Linked DNA regions of Macaca mulatta. The protein of the gene in region 2 purifies or fractionates together with the protein of the main gene of each other region. This does not show direct contact. Links are inferred from orthologs where the notes say so. Each region holds a gene or a part of one and is shown on either strand. Other genes may lie near its edges.

Region 1 (4,920 bases), on a different chromosome or scaffold from region 2:
GGATGCTCAGTGGATAAATGGTAGTATATCCACACAATGACAGATCCTTTTTATTCCTTGTTTATTCAATAATTACGACACTTTTAAAAGTAGATTTGGCCCTGCTTAGGTTTTTTTTTTTTTAATGGTGGGACTATCCAGACTTTTTTAAATGATTGTAAAAGCAAGACATACTGGCCAGGCGCGGTGGCTCACGCCTGTAATCCCAGCACTTTGGGAGGCCGAGGGGGGTGAATCACAAGGTCAGGAGTTCAAGGGCAGCCTGGCCAACATAGTGAAACCCCGTCTCTACTAAAAATACAAAAATTAGCCAGGTGTGGTGGCATGCATCTGTAGTCCCAGTTACTTGGGAGGCTGAGGCAAGAGAATCGCTTGAACCTGGGAGGCGAAGGTTGCAGTGAATTGAGACCACACCATTACACTCCAGCTTGGGTGGCAGAGCGAGACTCCATCTCAAAAAAATAAAAGCAAGACAGACTTTAGATAAAAGCAAAGAACCTGAAATGATGCAGGAAAAAGTAGATAGGGCCACTTTTAATTTCTGTGCTTCTGGAAGTTTTTTTTTTTTTTTTTTTTTTTTTGAGATGGAGTCTCACTCTGTCGCCCAGGCTGGAATGCAGTGGTGCGATCTCGGCTTACTGCAAGCTCCACCTCCCGGGTTCACACCATTCTCCTGCCTCAGCCTCCTGGGACTACAGGAGCCTGCCACCACTCCTAGCTAAGTTTTTGTATTTTTTAGTAGAGACGGGGTTTCACCATGTTAGCCAGGATGGTCTCGTTCGCCTGACCTCGTGATCCGCCTGCCTCAGCCTCCCAAAGTGCTGGGATTACAGGTGTGAGCCAATATGCACAGCCCTGCTTCTGGACATTTTTCATGTGCATTTTTTACATTCGCGAGGTCATCTTAGACACAAGCAACATGACTGGTTTTAAAATTCTTTTCCTGTTGGCTGCATAGCATACTGTTGTATAACTATAAATTTATATATGAACAAATATAATTCAGCTGCCTTTTGAGTATACAGACAGTCCCTGACCGTGGTTCTACCTAGAATTTTTCAACTTTGTGATGATTCAAACATGATACACATTCAGTAAAAACCATACTTTGAATATTTATAAAACCATTGTTTTTTATCTTCAGTACAGTATTCAATAAATTACATGAGTTATTCAACATTTGATTATAAAATAAGCTTTATATTAGATGATTTTGCCCAACTCTAGGCTAACGTATGTGTTCTGAGAATGGTTAAGGCAGGCTGCACTATGATGTTTGGTAGGTTAGGAGTATTAATACATTTTTAACTTATGATAAGTTTATGGGACTCGGTTCCATCGTAAGTCAAGGCGCATCTGTACAGTGGCATTAGTGACATTGGTATGAGCCTTCTTAGAATGTTCTCATTGGGAATAGCTAGTTATTTACTTAGAATAAATTTTGAAGGCCAAGTGCGGTGGCTCATGTCTGTAATCCCAGCTCTTTGGGTGGCCGAGGTGGGCAGATCACCTGAGGTCAGGAGTTCAAGACCAGCCTGGTCAACATGGTGAAACCCCGTCTCTACAACAATACACAAATTAGCCACGTGTGGTGGCGCATGCCTATAGTCCCAGCTACTAGGGAGGCTGAGGCAGGAGAAGTGCTTGAAGCCAGGAGGCGGAGGTTCCAGTGAGCCGAGATCACACCACTGCACTCCAGCCTGGGCAATAGGGCAAGACTCTGTCTAAAAATAAAATAAATAGTAAAGTTCCAGAAGTGAACTTTCTGAGTTAGAGATTGTTAGTGTCTTTTGCAGTTAGCTGTATAACTACCTTGTCTAATTTGAACCACATCTGGGGAACAGCATCTCTTCTGCGATGGGCACAGGGCAGCCTGTCCCTTATGGTAGTGTTGTCACAGCAAGAAGTGCAGCTGTAGGTTGTGTCGTGGGCGTGAATGCTGTGTCATTCGCGGGAGCCGGTAGAGCCACAGTAACATGGACAGCGACAGCTTCAGTGCTGCCAGGAAACCATCCAACTGATTTCTGTGTTTGCCCCACAGATCTACGAACTGCGTGTGATGGAGACCAAACCTGACAAGGCAGTGTCCATCATTGAGTGTGACATGAACGTGAGTGGCTCTGTCCAGTTACAGTGAGCCTGGGCCCTGGGAGGATGGGCACTTGGTGACCACTGCAGGCCAGGGTGTCAGGAGGGCATCAAACAGCCCCTGGGACTCTTTGGGCAAAGAGGAGGAAGATGCTGTCAGAACATCATGAGGAGACTGTGACCTTGTCATCTATCTCAGGGCCAGTTGAGGCAACAGAGTGTTGCCAGTGCTGCCATGGTTAGCTCTGACCTGTTGAGGAGTGAATTTTATTTTTTTATTTATTTTTTGAGACTGTGTTTCACTCCTGTTGCCCAGGCTGGAGTGCAGGGGCCTGATCTTGGTTACAACCTCCACCTCCCAGGTTCAAGCGATTCTCCTGTCTCAGCCTCCCGAGTAGCTGGGATTACAGGCATGTGCCACCATGCTCGGCTAGTTTTGTATTTTAGTAGAGACGAGGTTTTACCATGTTGGCCATGCTGGTCTCAAACTCCTCACCTCAGGTAATCCACCCACCTTGGCCTCCCAAAGTGCTGAGATTACAGATATGGGCCACCACGCCTGGCTGAGGAGTGAATATTCTTAAGAGCTAAGGAAGCGTGCTGAACCTTCTGAGTAGGAATGAAGTGCTGATGCACACAGCATCCTGGTTGTATTACTAGGCAATACTGCTGAGCAAAAAAGGCCAATCCCAAAAAGTTACTTCATTATATAGCATCCTTAAAGTGACAGAGCTTTAGAAATGGAAGACAGACTAGGGGTTGCCAGGGCTTAGGACTGGTGGAGGGGGCTGGGAGACAGCTGGGTATGGTTATAAAAAGACAACATGGGCAATCCTAGTGGTGGTGAAACTGTTCTACATCTCCACTGTGGTGGATACATGGACCTACACAGTGATTACATTGTGTAGAACTAAAGATACACATAAACAAAAACATGTAAAACTGGGAAATCTGAATAAGAGTGGTGGGTTGTGCCAGTGTTAATATCTTAGCAGCAATACTTTACTGTAATTTTGTAAGATGCTACCGTTGGGAAAACTGGGCAAGTGTACAAGGCATCTTTCTGTATTATTTCTTAAAACTGCATGTGAATCTATAATTGTCTCAATTAAAAGCAAAAAAGATAAGGAAGCCAAGGGTGGCCATGTCTGAATATTTTACTTTTAAAATCCTGGAAACACAGGTGGACTTTGATGCTCCCCTGGGCTACAAAGAACCCGAAAGACAAGTCCAGCATGAGGAGTCGACAGTAAGTGTTATCCCCAGTGTCCTTTGCTGTCCTGCTGCATGCTGCTTTTGAGTTCCTGGTAGTGACTCGTGGGTGGCCTCTGCTGGTGTTGGTGTCATATCCTCTGCGTCCCTTCCAGCCATGCTTCCGGGGGACATTCTAGCTGGGGGTGGGGGATGAGAGGGAAGCTGGGTGTTCCCGCTGAGGAGCTCACCTATTTTTCTTTTTCTCTGTCAGGAAGGTGAAGCCGGCCACAGTGGCTATGCTGGAGAGCTGGGCTTCCGCGTGAGTACCAGACCACTTGACTTACGTTGCTGTGCCCTCTGCTCCTTGAAATTAGAGCACTCACTCAAGCTGTTCTTCATGATGCTCGATGGACATCAGCAGGGGCTGGGCCTCTGGGTACCTGTGCACATGCATGCAAATCTACCACTTGCTCAGTTACCAAACACTTTTATATCTACTCTCTGCTGGAATCTTCCCAACAGCCCCATAAGGCAGCCCAGCTTTTTAAGAATTTCTAACCTACCGAAGAGTTTAAATAGTACAGTAGACATATACTCTTCCCTTAGGTTCACCAAACGTTACCACATTTGCTTTCTCTCTCTTGTAAATCATGTTTCCTTTTTTCTTTGCCTGTACCATGTGGGTTGCAAACATGACCCTTAGCATAACCACTGGCAAGGCTCCGTGGGAAACAGGTGGAGGTGGCTCATGTGTGGGCACTGAGGTGGCAGGAGGTGCCAGGAAGCAGCAGAGACAGCAGAATGATGGGAAGCTGAGCTATGGGGCAGTCACAACAGTGACCTTAGCCCACCCACAGAGCTTGAACTGGGTGGCCCTGCAGAGGCAGGGGTCAGGCCTTTTAACCTAACACTGACTGCTGGCTGCCCTTGGCCAAGTGGCTCTCTTCAGCTCATGGCCGCCCCCTGAGGAACTGGGCAGAGTTCTCAGCTGCCAGCACCCCAGCAGCTGAGGAGTCAGGGCTTCGGTCCTGAAGGGTCTGCACAGCACCCCAGCTCACATCCCTGCAGTGATCTCCAAGCAAAGGACATATCTGTCCTCACACTTGGGCTCATTATATGACTCAACTGCTTCCTGTCTAGGCTTTCTCCGGCTCTGGCAATAGACTGGATGGAAAGAAGAAAGGGGTGGAGCCCAGCCCCTCCCCAATCAAGCCTGGAGATATTAAAAGGTAAGTCTGTCTTGGCTGTCCTTCAGGACAGGAGGAGGATCTGTGCCAGCCCTCTGGGGTGGGGCAGCCTCACCCCAGTTCTGGAGACAAAGCCTGGGTCAGTAGGCCCAAGGGACTTACCCTTACCTGCTCTCCTTGGTGGGGTGGAGCACAACATGTCCCTCCTTCCACAGTGCCACCCCCAGTACCACTGTGGTCCAGCCTCACTCCATACCTCAATTCAGCGTCTTCTTGCCCCCAGTGGCTTTCCGAAGATGTGCGTCTGATCAGATCTGTCTCTTATTCAAAACCCTTCTGGTCCCTATTTGGTGATCTGCCTATTTTCCTGTTTTGTGACTTTGAATTATTAATCAGGTCACATTATCTTAGTTCTCCTGAAAGTTCCCTGAGGAGCTACCTCAGATGTGCT
Region 2 (5,488 bases):
TACTCACTGAATCAGAGAGAGATCTGTTCTATTCAGTAAGAAATAAGACTTTTCTAAAATCTTTCAATTTTCCGTTCTATTTCTAAATGCCAAAGAAAAGATAAGACTCACATTTATTTTAATTTTTTTCTTTTTCTTTTTTTCCCTCCTGCCTAAGGAATAAGGACTCACATTTTTGATGATGCATTTGTTTTTACAAGAATGTTGAGCTTCCAAGTAAAACCTCTGTGAAATCAGAGCATAAGTGATTAAGGTCACTATAATTCATCCAGCAATTAATAAATGTAAAATACCTTTTAATCATAAACACTATGATTTAAACATATGTGGAGAGAACTCCAAAAAAATTCTTTTTAAGGCATGTAAAAAAGGCAAAAAGAAACCAATCATGTGTTTCTAATGGTTAATCACTAACTTGTAAGAAGAATCCCAAAAATTATCAATAGAAATTCACAGTATTTCAGGAACACTCTGAGGTATCTTCCCTCTGTAGATTTTCAGACATCATTGTCTACTGATGGAGGGCCTCCAACTTGATCCAGAAATCAAGCTGTGTAGACTAACAGAAACAGAATTAAAGCAATTAAGTGAGTCAATTCACCTCATCACACTTTGGTTTTTTTGTGCACCTAATAAAAATGTTGCAACAGAAGTAGTAAAGTGGCGTTAAACCAATCAGAGTTTGGGAAGACTAGTAATTAGCATAAGAAACTGAAAATTAATTAAGTGGCTTTTAGGGCCAGGCACGGTGGCTTACGCCTGTAATCCTAGCACTTTGGGAGGCTGAGGTGAGTGGATCATTTGAGGACAGGAGTTCAAGACCAGCCAGGCCAACATGATGAAACCCCGTCTTTACTAAAAATACAAAAATTAGCCGGGCCTCGTGGCAGGCGCCTGTAGTCCCAGCTACTAGGGAGGCTGAGACAGGAGAATCGCTTGAACCCGGGAGGTAGAGGTTGCAGTGAGCCGAGATCGTACCACTGCACTCCAGCCTGGGCAACAGAGCGAGACTCTGTCTCAAAATAATAATAATAATGTGGCTTTTTTTCCTTCTTTTTGTTTTTTGAGAAATGGTCTTGCTCTCCTGCCAGGGATGGAGTGCAGTGGCATGATCAACTCACTGCAGCCTTTAACTCCTAGGCTCAAGCAATCCTCCCACCTCAGCCTCCCCAGTAGCTGGGACTACATGTCGGTGCCACTACATCCAGCTCACTTTTTTTTTCTGTATAGATGGGGCCTCACTATGTTTTGCCCAGGATGGTTTCTAACTCCTTGCCTCACGTGAATCTCCAGCCTCCGTCTCCCAAACTGCCGGGATTACAGGTGTGAGACACCGCGCCAGGCCCAAGTGGCATCATAAACTATCTCTAGGAAATCTAAAGAAAGGATTAATAGTGATATTCACTTCTCTATCAGATTCACTGCGAAAATTTTTCTATATAAGCATAACGCATCAACACTAACTTATATACACAATAATCTTCTCCACAGCAATGATTTGTTAGACATTACGAAATCCTTTATATATTTAATAATTCAATCCTTTATATCTTCAATAATCCAATCACAAAGTTTAAAAATATTAAGAGAAGTTATCATGTAACTCCTCACCCCAATTTCATTACAAATTTTACTTTACTAACTTTGACCTGATGTTCCATGCCCACAAGCTAGATAACAATGCGTCAAATATCTCGTTATCACTGCAAAGCAAAAAAATAAAGCTAGCTTTAATATAAAACTTTAACTAGTATACAGCCTGTAGTAGTTAAAACAATATAAAATTTTACTTAACCAGATACTCCACGTTAAACTCTAGGAACATTAACATGGAAACATTCTCCGCATCTAACACATTCCGAGATAAAGTACAGATCCGTTGAGAAAGGGAACTAACATTCTGACCTCCTTCCAAAATGACAAACTAGAACGGCAAAATTACACTCAGGCACACTGGAGTACTCTTCCCTCAAATCCCTCCACAGAGCACTTCATCATTTGCTCCGCCCTCTAATAACTCATGCAAGAAAAGTTCAGCACCATCAGAGAGAAACAAGACAGAATTCAGAGAATGGCTTTAGGGCCTTTCCTCCAGGCGGTAAGAGGATCTGCGTGTGCCCTTCGCAGGGGTCCAAAGGGAGAGAACAACCTAGGCCTAGGGTTTCGGGGATACTGACACCCAGAAACAGATTTTCTCTCAAAGAAGTTTCTGCCGCCATCCCTATCTTATCAGCAGGAGGCCCCGGCGCCATCGTCTCCGTCTTTATGATTTTATTATGGGGAGGTGGGAAACGCCACCCAGGATTCCTCCAGGCCTCCCCGATTCAGCTTCGGGGTCCCCCTCATTCTTCCCTCTAAGCCGCAGTCCCCGGGTCCTCCTCGGCACCCCCGCTTCTGGCGGCCTATCCCCCGGGAAGTGTACGGGCACGGCCGAACCCACCGGCCTCGCCGTGAAGGCGGGAGGGCCCGAACCCGCCAGGGCCACGGCGATGGCTCCGAGGGGCCCGGAAAGGGGAAGGGCAGGCCGGGGACCGGGGCAGGATGACCTGGCCGGGGAAGAAAGGAAAACGGAGGTGAGGAGACGCACCGCCCCGCAGGGCTGCACCGAGAAGGGAGATGATGAAGGAGGAGGAGGAGGGCGGTGGCCCGGGTGCGGCCCCCCACTCCTCCCGCCCCCGGGTCCCCGGGCCGGCGGGGGCGGCGGACTCGGCCCATTCCCAGGTCTGGGCTGGCGGGGGGCTGGGGGATCTCCCTCCACACTACTAGGAGACAGAGAACGAGGGTCTCGGGAGCGCGGGGGCTGTCTCCCGCCTGAACCCGGAGACCCCGACGCCGTCGTCGCCTCTTCCTCAGGAGGGAGGACGGGAGCTGTGGGTAAAGCCCGAAGGAGGAATGCCTGAAGGTGAGGGGCAGCCCGGGGCAGACCCGCCGCCCGCTCCGGACCCCCCCCTCCACCTTCCGGTAACCGCGTCTCTTACCGGTGATGGCGGTGAACTGTTGAATTAACCCCTTCAGCGCCGAGGACGCCGCGGAGCCCCCGTGGGCAGCCATCTTACCGCCGCCGCCGCCGCCGCCGAACAACAACACAGACACACACGGACCGCCCTCCCCCACCTCGCCGCGCGGTGTGCGCAGGCGCATTGACCGCCCCTCAAGCCCCGCCCCCAAGCCCCGCCCCTCCCGGCCCCCTCCAGTGGTCTGCGCAGGCGCACTTGCCCACCGGGCCGGAGCGCTACCCGCTCTCCGGTTGGCTGCTCGGTTGCTGCCTGCCCGGTGCATCGTTTTTGCCACTGCTGGTGCTTTCCTCTCCGGGCTCCAAGGCTAGTCTCGCAGGCGCAGTGTCGATTCCTACATTCCGAAGGAAGCTTCCGTCTTGGCAGATATTTCGCATTTCAGCTTCGCGAGCTTTATTGACAGGGCCAACTCCGGTAACGGTATTTTTTCTGCTTCGCAGTTGCTCCGCGCTCTGTTAGGTCCCATCAAAATACAAACCCTGCCTCCTCGCTTTGAAGCGACTCTCCCCGACCCCGCCCCCCAGCCTCTAGACTAATGGCTCAGCTCACCGACTGTGGCGAGTGAAATTCCAGAACCCTTCATGCCAAAGAAAGCACCTAGCGCAGGGTTGACACCCAGTGGGTTTTCATCAGCGATTATTTAGTCTGCTTTCCTTAAATAAATCGGCCATCACGTCTCCCGTTAGCGTCTTAGTGAGACCCCAAGAGGTGTCATGTGTATAAAAAGAAACTCTGTATATGCAATAGAGTTGAGAAGACATATAGAAAGGAGACTGGAAAAGTGTGCTCAAAACGCTGGTAATGGTTACCTTCAGAGGGGAGAACGATGGGCACGATGGTCAAAGCAGACTTTACTTCGAGTTTCTTATTTATCTTTTTATTTTTAAACAAACATTACTGGCCGGGCGCGGTGGCTCATAACTGTAATCCCAGCACTTTAGAAGGCCGAGGTGGGAGAATCGCTTGAGGCAAGGAGTTCGAGACCAGACTGGGAAATATATCAAGAATCCATCTCAAAAAAAAAAATTCGTGTGTTACTTGAATAATTTTATTTTGTAAAACAGTTACATGAGTGGGGTGCGCTCAAATCTAATGATTCCCCACCTTGCCCATAAAGTTTTGTGTTTTTTTTTGTTGTTTTTTTTTTGTTTTTTTTTGAGACGGAGTCTCGCTCTGTCGCCCATGCTGGAGTGCAGTGGCCGGATCTCAGCTCACTGCAAGCTCCGCCTCCCGGGTTCACGCCATTCTCCTGCCTCAGCCTCCCGAGTAGCTGGGACTACAGGCGCGCGCCACCTCGCCCGGCTATGTTTTTGTATTTTTTTTAGTAGAGACGGGGTTTCACCGTGTTAGCCAGGATGGTCTCGATCTCCTGACCTCGTGATCCACCCGTCTCGGCCTCCCAAAGTGCTGGGATTACAGGCTTGAGCCACCGCGCCCGGCCCCCATAAAGTTAAAAGAGATTCCGTGCGGCCGGGTGCCGTGGCTCACGCCTGTAATCCCAGCACTTTGGGAGGCCGAGGTGGGCGGATCATGAGGTCAGTAGATCGAGACCATCCTGGCTAACACGGTGAAACCCCGTCTCTACTAAAAATACAAAAAAATTAGCCGGGCGAGGTGGCGGGCACCTGTAGTCCCAGCTGCTGGGGAGGCTGAGGCAGGAGAATGACGTCAACCCGGGAGGTGGAGCTTGCAGTGAGCCGAGATTGCACCACTGCACTCCAGCCTGGGCGACTGAGCAAGACTCCGTCTCAAAAAAAAAAAAAGGAGATTCCATGCGATTCTGTTTGTTTTAGCCTCCTACCTTCCAGCCTCCACCCACATATTTTGCATCTTCAGAGGAAAATGGCCCAATAAAAGATGGGATGAGCTATCTGAAGAATTGACACATCTTAAGAGTAAATATGCTATTGGGGAGAATTTAAATAGCCATGTCAAATCAAGGGGTATAGTTTTTTGTTTTGTTTTGTTTTGTTTGACAGGGAGTCTCACTCTGTTGCCCAGGCTGGAGTGCAGTGGCGCAATCTCAGCTCACTGCAACCTCCATCTCCCCAGTTCAAGCGATTCTCCTGCCTCAGCCTCCCAAGTAACTGGGATTACAGGCACGAACCACCACGCCAGACTAATTTTTCTATTTTTAGTAGAGACGATGTTGACCAGGCTAGTCTCAAACTGCTGACCTCAAGTGATCCGCCTGCCTCAGCCTCCCAAAGTGTTGGGATTACAGGCATGAACCATCGCGCCCGGCCGGGCTATAGTTTCAGGAAGATATGATTACTGTAAAAGAAAGCAGACTCCAGTAATCCCAGCACTTTGGGAAGCCGAGGCGGGCGGATCACCTGAAGTCAGGAGTTGGAAACCAGCCTGGCCAACATGGCGAAACCCCATCTCTACTGAAATTACAAAAATTAGCTGCTGTGGTGGCGCAGGCACCTGTAATCCCAGCTACTTGGGAGGCTGAGGCAGGAGAATCACTT

What was found. Proteins that work in one complex are often made in the same cells at the same time.
Region 1: the proteins of UBXN7 (region 2) and UFD1 purify together in Homo sapiens (affinity purification with mass spectrometry; 3 studies listed by BioGRID and IntAct, with this or other methods). This does not show direct contact. The link is inferred for Macaca mulatta from reciprocal best matches to the Homo sapiens genes UBXN7 and UFD1.

What each region holds. Positions count from the first base shown.
Region 1 is NC_133415.1:33,249,870-33,254,789, forward strand, and holds part of UFD1 (ubiquitin recognition factor in ER-associated degradation protein 1), read left to right. Parts: intron 1-2,041; coding exon 2,042-2,110; intron 2,111-3,271; coding exon 3,272-3,337; intron 3,338-3,553; coding exon 3,554-3,601; intron 3,602-4,422; coding exon 4,423-4,511; intron 4,512-4,920. UniProt on the Homo sapiens protein: Essential component of the ubiquitin-dependent proteolytic pathway which degrades ubiquitin fusion proteins.
Region 2 is NC_133407.1:1,971,641-1,977,128, forward strand, and holds the start of UBXN7 (UBX domain-containing protein 7), read right to left. Parts: upstream 3,399-5,488; 5' UTR 3,280-3,398; coding exon 2,979-3,279; exon of another isoform or gene 1,048-2,978; intron 1-1,047. UniProt on the Homo sapiens protein: Ubiquitin-binding adapter that links a subset of NEDD8-associated cullin ring ligases (CRLs) to the segregase VCP/p97, to regulate turnover of their ubiquitination substrates.